4 linked regions of the Drosophila melanogaster genome follow. Each later gene encodes a partner of the first gene's protein in a complex. Each region holds a gene or a part of one and is shown in the gene's direction. Other genes may lie near its edges.

Region 1 (5,034 bases):
GTGAACATTTTCTCTATAATAAAAATGCGCGTTTGCGGGGAGAAAAATCAATGCCGTACCTTGGGTGAGATTAGATGCGAAGTGCCGTGGATCAGGGGTTCCGTAGACTACTATTATATCACTGGTGTGTGCTGTTGCTCAGGTTCCGTGCTTTTGTGTTTCTCTCAGGGCTCTCGTCCACATTCGTCCACTGCGTTCCATTTTATGCGCCGCCAGCGAAATGCGAATAACTTGCTTCCTGTTTTCGGTGCTCGCTTGTTTTTGAATTTGGCTGCTCGGTTCCGTGGGTCGCCGGAATCGCGTACCGTCCTCCGACCCGTTGTCTGGTTAGCTGCGACTGCCAGGAGCTGCGACTCGAGCGAATGCAGCGCATCGCCCAATCGCAATTCTGCAGAGCCAAAATCGCAATTGCAAGCGTCTTCGCCGTGCGTACAACAAATAAAAGAAAAATGTTTTATGTTGGGCGGCCCTTGCACGATTGGACGGCAGCATATCGTCATGCAAGCGTTTCGTGCACGTCGCCAGCATGATGACCGATAAACCGCGCAGCTTCAAATTCAAACCGCAATCGATTGTTACATCTTTCGAAGGTTTTAAACATTTAATAATATTTAATTTAATTTCGAGTGCCTAAATCTAAGCAAGTTTTATTATTAGTGTTTAATTTCACTTAACAAGTTGCTAAAATTATTGAATTGAGCCCTAACATCTTAAATAATATTAATATTAAATATAAACTGCTCATCTCGTTCCCCTTGGATTTTCTTTCTTGCCAAACTACAGGCTAGTCAGACTAACAAGTTGGAAAATCCAGAAAGCAAGCAACGTGGATCGTTCCTTTTCAAGTAAATACGAAAAAGGCTACCAAAATGGAAATGGATTACTATCTGCCAGTGTATAACGGATCAAATTCGGTGGACGTGCCGGGGCTGATTGAAAGTCTCAAGCTGAAGGAAACCAGTATATCGCCAATCGTGCTGGATCGCTATCCGCCGTACTCCCCGTTCTATGGCGTGATGGGCGTCGTATTCTCCAGTGTGCTGACCTCCGCTGGAGCGGCCTACGGAACTGCTGTTTCCGGAACTGGAATCGCCGCCACAGCGGTGATGCGTCCCGAGCTGGTGATGAAGTCCATCATTCCGGTGGTCATGGCGGGCATCATTGCCATATACGGTCTGGTGGTATCCGTGCTCCTATCTGGGGAACTAGCGCCTGCTCCCAAATACTCGCTGCCCACCGGCTATGTACACCTGGCCGCTGGACTTTCGGTGGGATTTGCTGGACTGGCTGCCGGATATGCAGTGGGTGAAGTCGGCGAAGTGGGCGTGCGGCACATTGCCCTGCAGCCACGCCTCTTTATCGGCATGATCCTGATCCTTATTTTCGCCGAGGTGCTCGGTCTCTACGGCCTGATCATTGGGATTTATTTGTACACGGTCAACATTAAGTAGCAGAATTTGTTATATCTAAAATATTTAATTCGTTAAGAAACGTTTTTATCGATCTTTAATATTTGAAATGCCTTTTGAATTTCTTTACGCGATTGTGGTACTCATTTCAGGTACGCCGTTGCGGTACGCGATGGAGGTACCCCATACTAATGATTCTACGGAATGCTGGTACCTTATTCTTTAGCAGCTTTGCCGAATTACTAGATATGTAAACAATTTAAATCAATTTGTTTCTTACGAAATTTGCTTGAATTCAGTGAGAATCGCTTATTTACAAGTGTATGTGCAAGGGAGCTTTCTTGCTGTTCCGTCATCTGGTAACACTGAACGCTCCCGGCATTTTTAGCGAATAGCGCGTGAATTTCTGTTTTGATTAAATTAATTGAATTGATGTGCCGTAGCTGATAGCCAAGAAACGCATAGTGCAGCCATGGCCGACAGCCCGTTCCCGAGGAGCAGCCGCAGTGGCCTGCTACGCACGACGCTGAACAGCTCGATGCCGCCGCAAAATCTCTCCCACTCGCTGCTCATCCTCGAGAAGAGCAACGCGGAGCAGAATGAGCTCTCGCTGATGGAGGACACCGGCGATGATCTGGATCGGGGCAAGAGCCGCATGGACGTGCTCTTCCCGCAGTTCTTCGACGTGCTGCAGGCTCAGGGTAACGGGCAGGAGGCATTCGAGGTGATCCAATCGCTGACGCAAGTCTGTCGCGGCGTGGTGGAGCAGCTGGAGCTGGAGATCGATCACGGCATGGGTGGGGAACAGGGCGCGCGGCAACGCGAGTCTATGCTCACCTGGCTGCGACAGGAGATAAACACGTGGCGCCTGCTGCACGCCCTCTTCTACGACCGCATCCTGCTGCAGACGGACAGGCAGGCGGATGATGAGATGCAAGATGGCCCCACGCTCGGCGGCAGCGAGAAGGAGGTCATACAGCAGTTGTACGCCCTCAATGCGACGCTGCGTGAGTACCAGCTGGTGGTGGACTGGCTGGAGGCGTGCTACGACCGGGGGGAGCAACAAAACCCACTCCACGCCCACGATCGTATGATGGCGTGGGAGAACACGCTCTTCCAACTGGAGAACCTGCAGGGCGCCGCCTTTGGCAAGGGCCATAAGATCGTAACGCGTCTGGATCCAGATGCTCCCGTACGCGAGAAACGACCGTTGCACGCCCTCGACGAGGAGGACAACCTGCGCCTGTCCCGCGCCATTTTCGAATTGATACGAGCGGGACGCGTCGACGATGGCCTCAAGTTGTGCAAGCACTTCGGACAGACGTGGCGGGCGGCGATCCTTGAGGGCTGGCGTCTCCACGAGGATCCCAACTTCGAGCAGAATGTCTCGGTGCTGCACGAAAAGCTGCCCATCGAGGGCAATCCCAGGAGGGATATCTGGAAGCGCTGCGCGTGGATGCTGGCCGATTCCAAGAACTATGACGAGTACAGCCGCGCGACGGCGGGTGTCTTCTCCGGCCACTTGGGCTCGCTGAAAACCCTTTTGCACAGCAACTGGCACGATTTGCTCTGGGCCCATCTGAAGGTGCAGATCGACATCCGTGTGGAATCGGAGATACGCGGCTGCTGCCTCAAAAACTACCAACCGATGCCCGATGATTACTGGAACGGCAGGATGACGATGGAGCAGATCTTCGAGGAACTGAACGTTGCCAAGGATGCGTCGGTGCGGGATTTCGCCCAAAGTCAACTGGGCATTATCCAGCGTCATTTAATCCTGGATACTTGCGGCGAGCTGATCCAACACATGGTGCGCTGGGTGGAGAAGGATACCTCCCAACAATCGCCCCATCAATTGCGCTTTATGGCCCACATAGTGCTCTTCCTGCGTCAAATCGGCCGTGTGGAGCAGGAGCGACAGGCGGAGAAGATCGTAGCCGCATATGTGGAGGCATTGATTGCCAGGGGCGAACCGCAGCTAATAGCCTACTATACTGCATCGCTTTCGAATCCGCTGCAGGTTCAGCTCTACTCGCGGTTTCTGGAGCAAGTGGAGCAGAAGCGTCCGCGGGAGCTAGCTGTGGATGCCGCCCTGCAGGCGGGCTTGGATGTGGAACAGATCACACGCGTCACCGTGCAGAATATTCGCCTCGCACATCAGCCACTCGGGGAATTCGGTGAGCCGCAGTCCGGCGAGATCTCTGCAATCGATCAGCGCAAGATCTCAGCATTGGAGTGGCTAATCCATTTGCCGGAGCAGCGCGGTGAGTTGCTGTGGCAGGCCAACGCCATGATACGCACCTATCTGGCCAGCAGCAAGGTGGAGTGCATGCGCCAGACCTTCCGCATGGTGCCGGCCGACATAGTGCAGCAACTAGTCAGCTTGTACGGCTCGGTGGACAACATACCACCGCGTGAGGAGTGCTGCCTGAAGGAGTATCTCTGCTACAAGGCGTATCTGTCTGGCGTCGACAGTTTCGTCGAATGGAACCGCCTGCAGCAGAACAGGCCCAAGAAGCCACAGACTTCACACGCAGCTTCCTCGCAGGACAACTTCACGGAGCGCATGGCGAGTGAGCGCAAGGAGCAGGCTCACCGATCGGAAGTCGTGCGCTGGGAGCACAAGGTTAAGGAGCAGGCCAAGCGTAAGTGGATCGCATACCCATTAATGAGATCTTTTGGCATATAACCCGCATTCTTTCCCTGCAGAAACCATCGAACTCCTGTACAATGTGCTCATGTTCCCGGACAAGGGTTGGCTGGTGGATCCGTTCATCGCCAAGCTGCCCGAGAACGCCGTGCAGCTGAGCTGGGATCATCGCCTACTGCAGATGGAGAAATTGCGCTCCATCTGCATTCCTGAGATCGCCCTGTTTCTGAACGAAGTGATGTTCAAGTCGGGAGACTTTGCGGGTTGCGTGCGCCTGGCAGATGAAATATCCAGCGAGAATCGGCAGTTGTACAAAGTCTATACGAAGCACAAGCTGGCAGAGCTTCTGGCCAAGATCGCGGACGCCTCCCTGGAGCTGCTCAACTCGAAACTGGATCCATGGGGCTATCCTATAACAACTTAGCAATCCTAGTACATTTGTGTGTTTTGCGATTACATTCTAACTTTAAACGTTTATTATTTATTCACTGTTCAATTATACAACTAAGGAGGGGGACAAATGGGAGGTAGGTAGGATGGAGGGCTTAGGAGTTGTTGTCCACGGCGGCGGCGGAGGCGTTGTTCTCGTCGCACCCGTTGCTATGCTTTAGTAGGTAGGAGGCCAGGAACTGTATGGGATCCGTGGGCCGTTCGCGAGCCAGGGCCTGCATTCCGTGGAGCAGAACCGGCGCCACCGTCTGGTCGAGGTACTGTCGCGTGGGCATGTTGTTTGTCTCGCTACTGGGCTTCTTGGCCACCGCCGGCTGCTGTTGCTGCTGCGCCACTGGATTTGTGGACTGGCCAACGGCAATGGCTCCGGATGGAGGAGCTCCCGGCGCAGCGGTCGGGTTTGCTTGCGCATTGCTGCTTGCATTTGGCTCCTTGCCAGCTTCTGCCGGCGGATTTGTTGTGGGCGCTGGTGAGATGGGTGCGTCGGTCTTGGCCTCCATGGCAATGTGTTCCTTTTGTTCAGCA
Region 2 (4,970 bases), on another chromosome or scaffold:
AGCTGCATGCCGGGCTGCCGGTTCAGTGGCTGCACGGCGTACATTATCCGATCCGTCCAGGCTGGCCGCCGCTTCAGGTCGTACTCGGAGGTGCCCTCGCGGAACTTGAAGGTGGGCGGAAAGGCGGGCAGTCGCTCCTGCAGAACCTGAAAGGCCAGCTGCGACTTCTCGCGAACTTGATACAATTGATCCCGCTGGATAAGGGCCTCGTGCTGGGACTCATCGCGTACCAACTCGCGCACTTCCGTCGAGGAATCGCTGCCCTGCAGTCGGAAGTTCAGATCGCCAAACCAGAAGACATAGTCGTGATCGTAGATCTCCCTATACCGCTTGACGTGGTAGTGATGGTTCTCCAGTATCTGCTTGTAGTCCTCGATGCGCTCGTCCATCATATGGTCATGGGCAGTCAGATGGGCCACCACAAAGGCCAGTCCGCAGCCGTAAAGGGTGAACCTGACACTGACGGCGCCCTTGTTGCCCCAAATGCCACCGAAACCGGTCCTCGTGAACTCCGCCTCGATGTCCTGCAAGTGCTCAACGTGCTGCCGCCTCACGAACATGCTGAGCAGCAGCCCCTGCATCTGCTCGGTCTTTACGGCCACATAGTCGTAGTTGCGTAGCAGTTCCTTAGCCTTGTGCGTCCACGGATCCTCCTTGAACAGTCCCAACACCTGTTGCTGCGGCTGGGCATTGACCTCCTGGAGCCCCAACGCATAGATGTCCGGCAAGTGGGCATTAGTCTCCTTCGTGTCCTTATCCACCGTCACATCCTGCAGTCCCAGCAGATGGCGGAGGGATATGTTATCCGGAAATCGACTGCCCACATTCCAGGTGACCACATATACCCGGTAAGTTTCCAGCTGTTGCTTCCCTTTGCCCTTCGATCCGTCCGGCTCCGAGTCCGGAATCTTGGGTGTCTTGCTAGCCTCCGTTTGGCTCATTGTTGCTGGACTTGACAAATCGAAGAGATTAACCCAACTGGCTGCTCACAGCAATCAAGTTGTTTACCCAACCGATTAAGGTTTTATTGTGTAAGTCGATTCTTTATGCCTTTGTGGATTTTGTTGCTCCAATCTGGGTTGCTGGTTAAGTTGGGTGGTGAACAGCGGCGAGGGCGGTCGGTAATTGCTGAAAATATTGCAGCACAAATAGTTTTTAACACTTGTTTGCCCAGCAGCAGCAACAACAACAACTGTGCTACAACAACACGACGAACACAATAACAACAACTAGGGATGGCAAAACTGAGAAGATGACGATATCGACTAGCGGTATTTATTTTCCAGCCCTAAAAATGTAAATTTCTTAGACGTTAAGAGGTAACATATTTGATTCATCTAGTAGTAAATTCAAGTTGTTTTAAAATGGCTTGCTAAAATTGAACCAAAACAATATGGTTTCCCCTATAACCCATTTTTTAAGATTTATTTAACATTTATACTGTATAATTTCTTTGTCATATTTGCACCTTAATAAGGGCTTTTATATTTGGCGCTCATATTATGTTCGTTTATTATATTTGCTTTATTTCTAATGCAGAATCTGTGGTCACTCTAGCACTCGCTGAATTTTAACTCGCTGGAAATTCTTTTTAGGACAACTATCGATTAACATTAGTACAGTATTTAAACTTTTGCATTATCACACAGCCAAGTAAAAACCTAAACAAATACCTCACTCCAACTTAAAGATACAAACGAGAATTCCTTTTAGTCAATGCAAATGCTTAGTATTCAAATGACAACACAAGCAAATGGTTACATATGTTATAAGTCGCACTTGAAGCGGTTCTTGAGTAATAAGCCCGTATGGCAGTTCATCACCAATTAAAAATATTTAATAATTACAGACTTCCAAACCGTAAACGTGCATGTAACCGATAGCTGCAGGCAACGTATCGATTAGCACACGCTGCCCGACACGCCGATAGTATCTGACAAACATCGATTTTGGTTCCAGCTCTACTTTGTGGCCACACACGCGTTTTTTCCCCAATCAAATCGTGCTCTTTTGAAATTCTGTTTCTTGCAAATCGGTGGTGCGTGTTCTCGTGCAACAATGGAAAACCTGAATGCGACCAGCGGCAAATGTTAAATTGCAATTAAAAGTGTGGATTTCGCGGCGGTAAAACGCCAAAATTCGTACCGAATCGCTGCGCGCGTGTGTGTGTGAGCAGAGCGTGAAGAAGAGGAACGAAGAATTGCGAAAGCAGTGTGTGCGGAAGAAGTGGAAGAAGCACAAAGACAAAAGGAAGGTGAAAATATATCAAATATATATCAAATCTATCCGGCAAAAGTAAAACAAATATTGAAGAAAACGGGCGGCATGCTGGAAAGCGGTAAGGGCAAAGCCAAAAGCAAGAACCTCGAGCGCTTCGCCCGAATTCGGTATTCAATCCTTTTTCCCGCCTCTAATTTTGCAGTGCTTGTGCCCAGAATTTGCTCTTCATTGGTGGCCAAGAAGTCAAATCCTGATCAAACGCGACCAGTTTGTGGCGCCAAACAGAATATTATTTAAAAATATCGCGGCGTGTGTAAAACCTCGGCGAAACGCGAACAAAAAAAACCACGACGGCGTGCGTAAGCGCACTCACACCTTTGCACACGCACAGACAGAGAGAGAAGGCAGGATAGAGAGTGAGAACGAAGCGAGTGAGCGAACATTATCCGCACCTACACATACAAACTAGCTCGCAGGAATTGCAACAGTGTGTGCTTTTTTTTTGGTTTTTTTTTTTACTTACGTTTTTTGTTGTGTGTGCGGCAACGCTTCTTTTTCGCGTTTTTTTTGCATCTCTCTTTTGTGCCGTTGCTTCGCCGGCTAAAAAGGTGAGTCTGAATCTAAAGCGGCATAATGGAGGATGCACAGGAGCAAAGGGAATCCTCGCAAGCCGAATTGGCCAAAAAGCATCCGCTGACGCCGCTCAAGGAGCTGCCTGAAGAAAGCGAGGAGGAGGAGGAGGAAGAGGATGAATCCTCGGCGGGAGCCCTACGGGAGTCTGACAGCAACAACGTAAGTACAGTCGACGATAACTTGGTTCCCATCAAATATCCAACTTCCGTGCAATTGCAATTGCAGTCCATCATGGGGAAGATGAAGATGCGCGTGTCCAGCATTCTGCCCGCCTCCTTGAGCGGTTGGTTTTCGCCGTCGTCCAAAGATGGGAACGATGCCTTATCCTCCCCAGCTAATCTCCGCCAGTCACAGCCACGCCAGTCCAATGGACGCCTCACTACCAAGCGGAAACGAGGACGCCGTCGGATAATGCTAGCCGAAGTGGATGCCGATGCAGCCGATGATCTTGATGACGGCTCCGATGCCAAAGGCCTCAACTATGAGGAGGTGGCCCTGGCCGACAACATAGCCGAACACGACCTGGCCGCCGAGGATGAACAGACGCGGCGGAGCGAGTACAATGTGTTCCTGCTGCGCAAGCGAGCCGGGGCTGTTGCAGCTGCCGGCGGTGACGAGGATGAGGCCGAGGAGGATGAACTGGAAGAGGACGACGAGGATGGCGATGAGGAGGATGACGATGAAGAGCAGGAGAATCTCCAACAGTCCGCCGCCGTGCAGACCAAGCGTCGACGCCTGGAGGTAAGATCACATCTTCAATCCTGTCTACATTTCCCAACTAATCTTGAATCCCTTTCAGCTGGAGACCCCCGTCAATTTGCCGAACATGCGTCGTCTGCCCCTTTTGTCATCCACGCCTGCTGCTCCGCTCGCGGCTGCCACCAGCTCCTCCAGCTCCCAGATGTACAAGGGCGTCAGCCACATTGCGCCACATCGGCGCAATCACCTCAATTTGTATGGTAGTCAACGGCAGCGCGAACCCGCGTACAACTTTTTCACGGGCAACGAAGCTGCCGAGGGAAGCACCGGGGATCTGCCACACAGGTATGTTACTGCAGTCATGCTTACTAAAAGTGTTAATATGGAATTCAAAAAGATAACTACCTTAGAGCTCGTTTCAAACAAACTCAAATTTGGGCGTTGCATAGCCAGGCTATTGCCAAGACGAAAAAGAAGAAAACCTTAGTGAAAATTATAAGGCAATCATTTAAATCATTTTAGCATCCGCCGTTCACTGAACATACCTTTCGGAGGCAGCAGCACCGCTACCAGCTACAACAACAGCCTATCCAGCCTTCCTAACCACAAGCGACCATCGCTCATAGGCAAGCAAACCCATCGACGCGATCTTACCATGGATGAGACGGGGACTGGCCCGGCCATGAGTTCGGAAGAACATCTCAATCATTTGCTGAGAATAAGCAGGACCAACAACAATACTAGCAACAATAATAATAATAATAATAACAACAACAATGTCATTGAGACAAAAACAAGACGAAGTGAACTGTCTGCGGCCGCAGGAGGTTGCGGTGATTCGCAGTCCGAGAGCGATATGAACGAATACCACGACAATGGTGAAGGGCACGACGGACTTCGTCCGTCGCATTACAACAGCAACAGCAATTTAGAATTTTACGGAAATCTGCAGAGCTCCAAGTCAATATTTAACAGAAGCAACACCGCCGCACAGCAATCGCATCGGAATTCTACGTGGTCGCTGAATTCCCTTACCCAACGACGTCGCTTCAATGCGTCCATATACGGCAGTACGTCGGCACTGAGCGACAGTCGTCTGCTTAGTGGCAGTGCCTCTAACTCAGGCTCTGCATCTGCCTCTAGCTCGCCCTTTTACCAGGGACGCACCACCTTCGGGGGCAATTCCGGCAACAATCGCCTCTTCAGTCGCAGCAATCTTAGCTCATCCGCCGCATCCTCAATGTTGGGACTCAATTCTGCCGGCAGCTCACCGGCGCATCAGCTGCATGCTTCCATGACTGGTGGTATTGGATACGGTATGAAAGCGGTAGATATGCGACCTTCAGACTCCGGCAGTCTTGCGGAGACATCTGTGGGCCAAGGTGGCAGTAAGAAACCCGGTACCGGGCTGTCGAACA
Region 3 (5,063 bases), on another chromosome or scaffold:
ATGAGAGCGTAAGTATCGCAGCGAATTTCTCCGCTACAAGTTTAGCTAACCATTTCGCACGCTAGGTCACAGTAAAAATGTCGGCAAAGGACTCGCTGCAGGAGATGTCCACTGTGCACTATGATCTGTATGCGGGTGTTGTTCACGCCGGGTACAGCATGGATTCCGGTCACTACTTTACGTTCGCGGCGGATCAAGCCAAGAATTGGTACAAGTTCAACGATAACGTGGTTACCCACTCCAAGCCGGAGGAGATGCACAATCTCACTTCGCCCAACACGCCCTACATCCTGTTCTACAAGATGTGCGGCCACTCCAATGAGTCTAATTCGGTTACGGCCAGCTGCAGTTCGAGTATGGTATCGGGCTCAAATGACCAGGTGGTCTCGGTGCCACTGTCGCCGCCTCTGAAGCTGGAGGAGTTGCCACGCCGACTTCGCGACTACGTAAGAAAGGACAACCATGTTTACAACGAAGAGTTGAAGATGCAACGCTTTAAGCGTGGCAACAGCGGTCACGGCAATGCGTTTGTCAGCCGGCACAACTTTGATGGCGATGGTGACGAGGACGACAAGGCGCCGCCGCCGCCCGGAGGATGTGGAGGCAATGGACTGGGCATGAACATCAACCGCTTCGTCTTCTGAGAAAGCGACAGCCAGGATAGCGAGCACACCGGAGGCCACTAGAACATATACTTGTCTACTTTATGAAACACGCGCATACTAATCGAAATGTTACATACATATATATATAGCACGTTCACAACCAATCGAGATATATGCGCCTACGTATATCGAAGTGTATGAGAAACGCGCTTACCGATCGCTTGTTCGCTACCTCCTTGAGTTGTTGTCGATGTTTTCTAAATTGTTTCTTCCTTTTCTCCTTGATCCTTCGGCCCGTTGCCCCAAAAATCATTATACTCATCCACTCATACGAACGCAAACTATTATTGTATTTCCATTTACAAAATTGTTATAATTTTTTTGTTTTTGTTAACACAAACCTAGTTGTAGAACGTGCATATATGCGAACACAAACATATTTAATTATAAAAATTAAAAAAAAAAAAAAACAATAGAATTAGCCAGAAATAGGAGCGATATACTTGAATCCGAAGACCACTAACTTCCAAAACACTAAACCAGAAATAATGTCTGCACCCTAGTTTTTAACGCACAGCTCGAAATTAAATCATATCTCGAGTTGCAATCGAACTAGCAAGAAGCTACAAAACAAGATAATCGCGGCATTGACTTGTATAGATCGAGATCGTTTATAGATCGGGCTATAACCCTCGGATCGTATTATTAGTTTCACTGTTAATTTTAGCAAATTTCAAAAAATTTGCGCATGTGCGACACGAATTTGTAATTGATATATATAAATGTATCTCTTTGGATCTGGTGAGCAGAGGTTGCGATGAATTTTGAACGTTATTGCAATTAAATTGGAATAATTTCAAGGAAATTTGTATATGGTGTATGTCTATTGATAACCAAAATCTATACTATGCTATGCTATAAGTGTATCAATAAAGAAAAGAACAAGCCCAAAGAGTGTTTAATTATTAGAGTCACGAAAGAGTTTAATGTGAAAACAACAAAAATAGTATCCATTCATGGAAGTTACTATATCAAAAAGAAAAGCAATGATCAGAAAGGAGGATATTATATTCAGTTCAAACATTAGAGAGGAGGCGTAAACTAGAATTAAAAACTTGACAGGATTATTGAAGTGGCGAATTGATTTTCTTGCCGCCAAATTTCAAATTATAGCGTACTAATAATCAAAAGTCGGGCCTAAGACTATCGATAATTTAGACCGCGCGGCAGTGTTACCAAATTAATAAGGGAAATTCAAGTGTTGTTGTCAGCAAGGGTGAGAGCCCATTTACAATCTGGTAACACTGCTAGAAAGCGCCAAAATTTTACGTTTATTAGGATTAAGACTAATTTTATTACAATAAAATAGAATTGTACAAATTCCGGCCCCTAGGAAAGGCAACCCAAACTGTGCGGCAAAGTAACGTCCTTGAGAATACCGCATCATGTCGTTCTTCGGATCCAACACGTCGCTGGGAGCAACAAGCACGCCGGCCAAAAGTGAGTTTCCGTAAACAAGACCTCATGCCCTTTTCTCCAAATATTTGTGGGGTCCATTTCCACTTGGTGGAGGCTTCAGCAGCTTCTTGGCGTCCTGCAGGCTGTGGATGCGGATGTCTTTGGGATCTATGCTGGATGTGGGACGGGCTACATGGTGTCAGTGTTCTTATGTGGCCAGACAAAGATGCTCACCCCTTCTTGTGGACCACATAGGCGACGTATCCCACAAAACCTAGCAGGAGGATCAGCAATATAAAAACCAGAGCCATTTTCCACGACCAGCAGGCGACCAGAGCTTGAAGCAAACTAAGGGCAGCTTCTGTAGTATTTTGGAACCCGAAATCTCAGATAAGAATCCAAGGCAGAAGCATAGTTTTCAAAACACTGACCCATTTCTGGTCTTCTTATCTCTTTTGTTCAGCAACCGGTGGCCTCTTCGGATCGCCGTTTGGAGGCACAGCTGCAACCAGCCAGCCAGCACCCGCTTTCGGAGCACAGGCCACATCGACTCCGGCTTTTGGCGCCCAACCGGCGACTTCTGCCTTCGGAGCAGGTTCCGCCTTTGGAGCAACCGCTGCAGCCCCGGCTTTTGGAGCCGCCACAGGAACTTCTGCCTTTGGCGGCTCCGCCTTTGGCAGTACTCCGGCATTTGGTGCGGCGACAACCACAACTGCGGGCACGGGTTTGGGAGGAGGCGGTTTCGGCGGATTTGGAGCAGCTCCGGCAACAAGTCAGGCCGGTCTGTTCGGCGCTCCAGCGACTAGTGCAGCACCACCAGCTTTTAGCGGATTCGGCCAACAGGCAGCTGCGAGTACAGCGCCAGCAAGTGGATTTTCAGGCTTTGGCACAACCACAACGTCGGCACCTGCTTTTGGTGGCTTTGGCACCAGCCAGTCCACTGGCTTTGGGGGCGGAGCCTTCGGATCCAGTAAGTTAAATAAGCCCATTTGTCTTTCTGTGGTATTCCTAACCTGGTTTATGTTTCAGCGTTCGGAAAACCAGCGAATACAACAGTTACGCCGGGATTTGGTGGATTCGGAGGCACCAGTTTTATGCTTGGACAGCCGCAACAGCAGCCAGCGCCCATATCGGCTGACGAGGCGTTTGCCCAATCCATTCTGAATGTATCCATTTTCGGGGATGAACGGGACAAAATAGTGGCCAAATGGAACTACTTGCAGGCTACGTGGGGCACTGGGAAAATGTTTTACTCCCAGAGTGCGGCACCGGTAGACATTACGCCGGAGAACGTGATGTGCCGGTTCAAGGCCATAGGCTACAGTCGTATGCCGGGCAAGGATAACAAGTTGGGACTGGTGGCTCTTAACTTCTGCAGAGAACTCTCAGCTGTCAAGTAAGTCTTAGTGCTTGTCTACATCATGGCATAGGTATTAATTCATTTTATTTTAGGCCACACCAGCAACAAGTGATTCAAACGCTTCACAGTTTATTCGGCAGCAAGCCCAACATGCTTGTTCACATAGATTCCATCAAGGAGTTGGAGAACAAAAAGTGCCAAATTGTTATTTATGTCGAGGAGAAACTTCAACATGCTCCCAACGAAAGCAAGCGTATACTTGCCACCGAACTCTCAAACTACCTTAATCAGGCGACGCTGAAACCACAGCTCAATAATCTAGGTGTTGTGGAGGCTTTGGCTCTGGTATTACCCGACGAAGATCAATTGAGGGAGTACCTTGAAAATCCACCCCGCGGCGTGGATCCGCGCATGTGGCGTCAGGCCAATTCCGACAATCCAGATCCAACTTTATATATACCAGTGCCCATGGTGGGCTTTAACGACTTAAAGTGGCGCGTTAAGTGTCAGGAACAAGAAACGGACACGCATGCATTGTACATAAAGAAGGTGGAGAGTGAGCTGACAGAACTCAAGAAGCGCCATGCCACTGCCACAGCGAAGATACTTGAACATAAACGGAAACTGGCCGAGCTCAGTCATCGCATACTAAGGGTAGGGACACCTAGTTAAATACCCAACTTTATTTTTACATTCAGAAATCCGCATTTTTCAACCACAGATAATAGTGAAACAAGAGTGCACCCGCAAGGTGGGCACTTCCCTGACGCCCGAGGAGGAGGCCTTGCGCACCAAGCTACAGAACATGCTGGCTGTCGTCTCCGCACCCACCCAATTCAAGGGCCGACTCAGCGAGCTCCTCTCCCAGATGCGCATGCAGCGCAATCAATTCGCAGCCAACGGTGGTGCCGAGTATGCCCTCGACAAGGAAGCGGAGGACGAGATGAAGACCTTTCTGACGATGCAGCAGCGCGCCATGGAGGTGCTGAGCGATACCGTCAACAAGGACCTGAGGGCGCTGGATGTTATAATTAAAGGACTGCCCGAGCTGCGACAATCGTGATAGGAATGGAAATGAGCTGATACGTTGAATAAAACCCACATATGTGTAACACAACCCGGTGATTTTCGATGATCGAGACAACGAACAAGTTGTGGCCGTTACACTTTTGCCATTATGTCGTCGTTTAGCATTTCCTGTAGCTTTGAACTTGCACTTTTACGGGCAATGGAGTCGAAACAATCGAAACGAGTTCACACATTCGTCGCCAATGCTGCGGAAATAATTGTGTGGGTCAATGCACTTGCACCGCACAGCTCTTGGACCGCCCGACTTTTCCTCGGCCACTGTCTGAAATTGTCCAATTTCGACGGCTAGGCAGAAGGCAATCGCTCGGACTCATTATGAGTGGCAAACGGTTCGTCTCTGGCAGTTCCAGTTTGTTCAACTCCCAGCATCGGTATCACCATCGTTGTTACATTAACATTATTATGTGCTCTGGCGTGTGCATACATGTGCAGTCTAGTTAGTTGGCTCGTTACATATTTATTTCTTGTGTGGGAAACTAGTTTTCTCCCAGTCAACCAGCCAGCCAGGGTCCGTGCAGGTTTTTTGTTGGCCATTGATGGCGGAGACTTCC
Region 4 (3,569 bases), on another chromosome or scaffold:
CAATCTTACTTATCACATTAAAGGCAATCAGTTTAAATAACTACTTGTACTTCTAATATTAATTAATATTAATTATCTACTTTGGCTTTGGGTTCAAATGGATGATGAGGATGTCCATAGGCCCTAGGAGAAAAATAGAAAGATTCGAGATATTTCAAGTTAAAACCTAGGAAATGAAAAGAGCAACACCTACGCCTTCATGGTCATAAAACGCCCATTGCAGTCCAATTCGTTAATGGCCTGTATGTCATCGACGGCCAACTCAAAGTCCCAGATTCGCTTAAAGTTGTCCAACATGTGCTGTTTGCTTACTGATCTTGGGATGACAATTATACCCGATTGTGTCTGAAAGCGTAGGAGCACCTGTGCCGCAGTCCTTTCGTATTTCTCAGCTATAGCCAAGATGGTCGGATGCTGGAGCAGTGGATAAGCGCCGGGCTTCTCGTAGGGCGTATGTCCCGATCCCAGGCAGCTGTAGGCGGTCACAGCAATGGCATTGTCATAGCACAGCGTAATCAATGGCTTCTGACTAAGGTACGGGTGGCACTCGATTTGAAGAACTACCGGTTTAAGCTTGGCCACACTGAGAAGTCTATTCATCTGCTGCTCATTGAAGTTAGACACACCGATGGCCTGGCACAGACCCTCGTCCACCAGATTCTCCATTGCACGCCACGTGTCCACATAGTCGATGTCCTCGAATGCGGCCTTATTGGTGTCCGGACACGTGGGATATAGGTTGTCACTGCCCGACTTGTAGGCCATGGGCCAGTGCATCAGGTAGAGGTTTAGGTACTTGACTCCCAAGTTCCTTATGCTTGTCTCACATGCCGGGCGCACCAAATCCGGCTTGTGGTGTGTGTTCCAAAGTTTGCTCGTGATGAAGAGTTCATCTCTGCAGTGCAATATGTATTTATGGCTTAGATAAACGATTGATTAGGCCTGAAAGCAGCACTTACCGTGTGACCACTCCCTCGTCCATTTTCTCCCGGAGAGCAGCTCCCACTTGCGCCTCATTGCCATAGATATGAGCGCAGTCAAAATGGCGATAGCCTATATCAATAGCATCCTTTACTGCTTGGGTCACCACTTCCGGCGGGCTCTAAAATGGCGAATAAAACGTAAAAAGCTGAGGTGCATCAAAAGCTTTTGCTTGACCCCGAAGAGCTTTGACATTGACCGTGAAATATGCAGTGGAAATGCACATTTCAGCTGGCTATTATTTAATAACAATATATATCTATGTAAAAGTACTTACCCGCCAAGTTCCGAGACCCAACATAGGCATATTTTTACCATTGCTCAAGAGAAAATTCGGTGTCGACATGTTTGAATCCTTTTGCTCCTTGTGAAATATGTTGTTGCACTGGCTTCGTTTTTGGAAAGCTTTAATTTGTAATTTACTAAGTGAACTATACTCAAAGGCCTATTAAACTGGCTAGAAACAGCATGTCTTGTGACAGCTCTGCTATCACAACTATATGTACGAAAATTGTTTAAATTTAGAATCTTTTGGGCAAGCAAAAGACCTTCGCGGAATATAATCGATTCGCTGCAGAGGGAAATTTTAAAATTTAAAACAAAAAACTCTTTTTCTGCGTTCAGAGTTTTATTTTATAAACCGAGTATAATGTAAATAAATACCTTTTTTTAATAAAATAAAATAAAATGTTAAAAAAAAAACTTTTGAAAAAATATTCTTTGTATTATCGCGTTATAAAAAACAAAGACAATCGATAGAAGTTTCCGATGAAAACATCGCATTCGCAGATAGTGCCTGACCTACCATCTCTAATTTTGCCGCCTGCGAAAAACACAAACAATGTTCGGCACCGTAAATAACTATTTATCCGGCGTTTTGCACGCCGCCCAGGATTTAGATGGCGAGTCCTTGGCCACGTATCTCTCCTTACGAGACGTGCACGTTCAGAACCACAATTTGTACATTGCCCAGCCGGAAAAGTTGGTGGATCGATTCCTGAAACCGCCACTGGACGAAGTTGTGTCCGCCCACCTGAAGGTGCTGTATCACCTGGCACAGGAGCCTCCTGGTTACATGGAAGCCTACACCCAACAGTCGGCAGCCTGCGGAGCCGTTGTGAGGCTTTTGCAGCAGCTGAAGGACGAGAATTGGTGCCTGCCACTAATGTACCGCGTGTGCCTGGATCTAAGGTACTTGGCGCAGGCCTGCGAGAAGCATTGTCAAGGATTCACACCTGGCCACGTATTGGAGAAGGCTGCCGACTGCATAATGGCCTGTTTCCGCGTTTGTGCCGCTGATGGACGAGCTTCAGAGGAGGACACCAAGCGTCTGGGCATGATGAACCTCGTAAACCAGCTATTCAAGATTTATTTTCGAATCAACAAGTTGCATCTGTGCAAGCCCCTTATCCGTGCCATCGATAATTGCATCTTCAAGGATTCTTTTCCGCTGCCGGAGCAAATTACCTACAAGTATTTTGTAGGTAGACGGGCTATGTTCGACTCCAACTACCAGGCAGCCGTACAGTATCTGTCGTATGCCTTTAGCAACTGCCCGGATCGGTTTGCCAGCAACAAGAGGCTCATCCTCATCTATTTGGTGCCAGTGAAGATGCTGCTGGGATATCTGCCCAGCAAATCCTTACTGCAGCGCTACGATCTCCTGCTGTTTCTCGATCTGGCTATGGCCATGAAGGCTGGCAATGTGAATCGCTTTGATGAGATTGTCAGGGACCAGGAGCTGGTGCTGATCAGGAGTGGTATCTATCTGCTGGTGGAGAAGCTCAAGTTCCTCGTGTATCGCAACCTGTTCAAGAAGGTGTTCGTCATCCGGAAATCGCATCAGTTGGACATGGGTGACTTCCTCTCCGCCTTGCATTTCGTTGGCTTAACCGATGTTTCTCTGGACGAGACGCACTGCATCGTGGCCAATCTCATTTACGATGGAAAGATTAAGGGGTACATCTCACATGCTCACAACAAACTGGTCGTGTCGAAGCAAAATCCATTCCCCTCAGTGTCCCTTTAGTGCATTTTGTAATTATTGTGAATTTTTAAGAGTAAAAGAATCCAATTTAATCAGTGTATTAGTTTACTGGATGGGGCATGTGAATGGAGGGCACCAACGATGAGTATAAGACCTGAAGACTTTGAATTTAAAGTACCTTCAATTCTATTTGGTTATAATTTTGTTTGGTTTTTCGAAACCTATATGTTTCAAATCAACTTATGAACTAATAATATAATTTTTGGTTATAAATATGTTTATTTTTCAACGGTTTTAAACTAATACCACTTTTTAAACTTAATCGAACTTTGGAATTGATATATATCGATTTTTGTGCTCGAACCGATGTATCGACAGCGGAATCGGTTTCGGTCACATCTCTAGGTCCACCGACTATCACTCATCTCTGAACTTTTTGGAACGCAGCTGCATGAATTGTCGTAGTTGAGCGAATTTAAACAAATTAACACAATACTTGTGGTATTACCTGGTAAATGATTAGAGCCTCATTCGCGCAAAGTGTACATAAGACAAGTGGCGAAGATTAGATCTAGTTAGCTAGTAACCATTTCTCAGCCGG

The links.
Region 2: Nup107 (region 1) and Nup153 share a complex: the UniProt entries of both Drosophila melanogaster proteins name them as parts of the nuclear pore complex.
Region 3: Nup107 (region 1) and Nup54 share a complex: the UniProt entries of both Drosophila melanogaster proteins name them as parts of the nuclear pore complex.
Region 4: Nup107 (region 1) and PCID2 share a complex: the UniProt entries of both Drosophila melanogaster proteins name them as parts of the nuclear pore complex.

The regions. Positions count from the first base shown.
Region 1 is NT_033779.5:10,732,793-10,737,826, reverse strand, and holds Nup107 (nucleoporin 107kD), read left to right. Parts: upstream 1-1,755; 5' UTR 1,756-1,881; coding exon 1,882-4,054; intron 4,055-4,118; coding exon 4,119-4,483; 3' UTR 4,484-4,534; downstream 4,535-5,034. Other genes in the region: Vha16-5 (vacuolar H[+] ATPase 16kD subunit 5), read left to right, coding at 870-1,451; Dpy-30L1 (Dpy-30-like 1), read right to left, coding at 4,605-5,009. UniProt on the Drosophila melanogaster protein: Plays a role in nuclear pore complex (NPC) assembly and maintenance. Required for nuclear import of Mad. Mediates the association between the nuclear pore complex and a subset of active chromatin regions adjacent to lamin-associated domains.
Region 2 is NC_004354.4:16,597,302-16,602,271, forward strand, and holds the start of Nup153 (nucleoporin 153kD), read left to right. Parts: upstream 1-1,939; 5' UTR 1,940-2,338; exon of another isoform or gene 2,339-2,422; 5' UTR 2,423-2,853; coding exon 2,854-3,012; intron 3,013-3,078; coding exon 3,079-3,594; intron 3,595-3,652; coding exon 3,653-3,897; intron 3,898-4,074; coding exon 4,075-4,970. Other genes in the region: CG9784 (uncharacterized protein), read right to left, coding at 1-941. UniProt on the Drosophila melanogaster protein: Component of the nuclear pore complex (NPC), a complex required for the trafficking across the nuclear envelope. Functions as a scaffolding element in the nuclear phase of the NPC.
Region 3 is NT_033778.4:12,427,924-12,432,986, reverse strand, and holds Nup54 (nucleoporin 54kD), read left to right. Parts: upstream 1-1,887; 5' UTR 1,888-2,050; coding exon 2,051-2,105; exon of another isoform or gene 2,106-2,127; coding exon of another isoform or gene 2,128-2,236; intron 2,237-2,297; coding exon of another isoform or gene 2,298-2,374; exon of another isoform or gene 2,375-2,392; intron 2,393-2,526; coding exon 2,527-3,033; intron 3,034-3,092; coding exon 3,093-3,459; intron 3,460-3,515; coding exon 3,516-4,077; intron 4,078-4,144; coding exon 4,145-4,486; 3' UTR 4,487-4,538; downstream 4,539-5,063. Other genes in the region: DUBAI (deubiquitinating apoptotic inhibitor), read left to right, coding at 1-8, 66-644; CG43204 (uncharacterized protein), read right to left, coding at 2,128-2,236, 2,298-2,374. UniProt on the Drosophila melanogaster protein: Component of the nuclear pore complex (NPC), a complex required for the trafficking across the nuclear envelope. Essential for the nuclear import of nuclear localization signal (NLS)-containing proteins in an importin alpha/importin beta-dependent manner.
Region 4 is NT_037436.4:11,624,658-11,628,226, forward strand, and holds PCID2 (PCI domain-containing protein 2), read left to right. Parts: upstream 1-1,783; 5' UTR 1,784-1,822; coding exon 1,823-3,010; 3' UTR 3,011-3,058; downstream 3,059-3,569. Other genes in the region: CG6083 (uncharacterized protein), read right to left, coding at 69-123, 194-895, 960-1,102, 1,259-1,327. UniProt on the Drosophila melanogaster protein: Required for the export of nuclear mRNAs and involved in mRNA trafficking in the cytoplasm.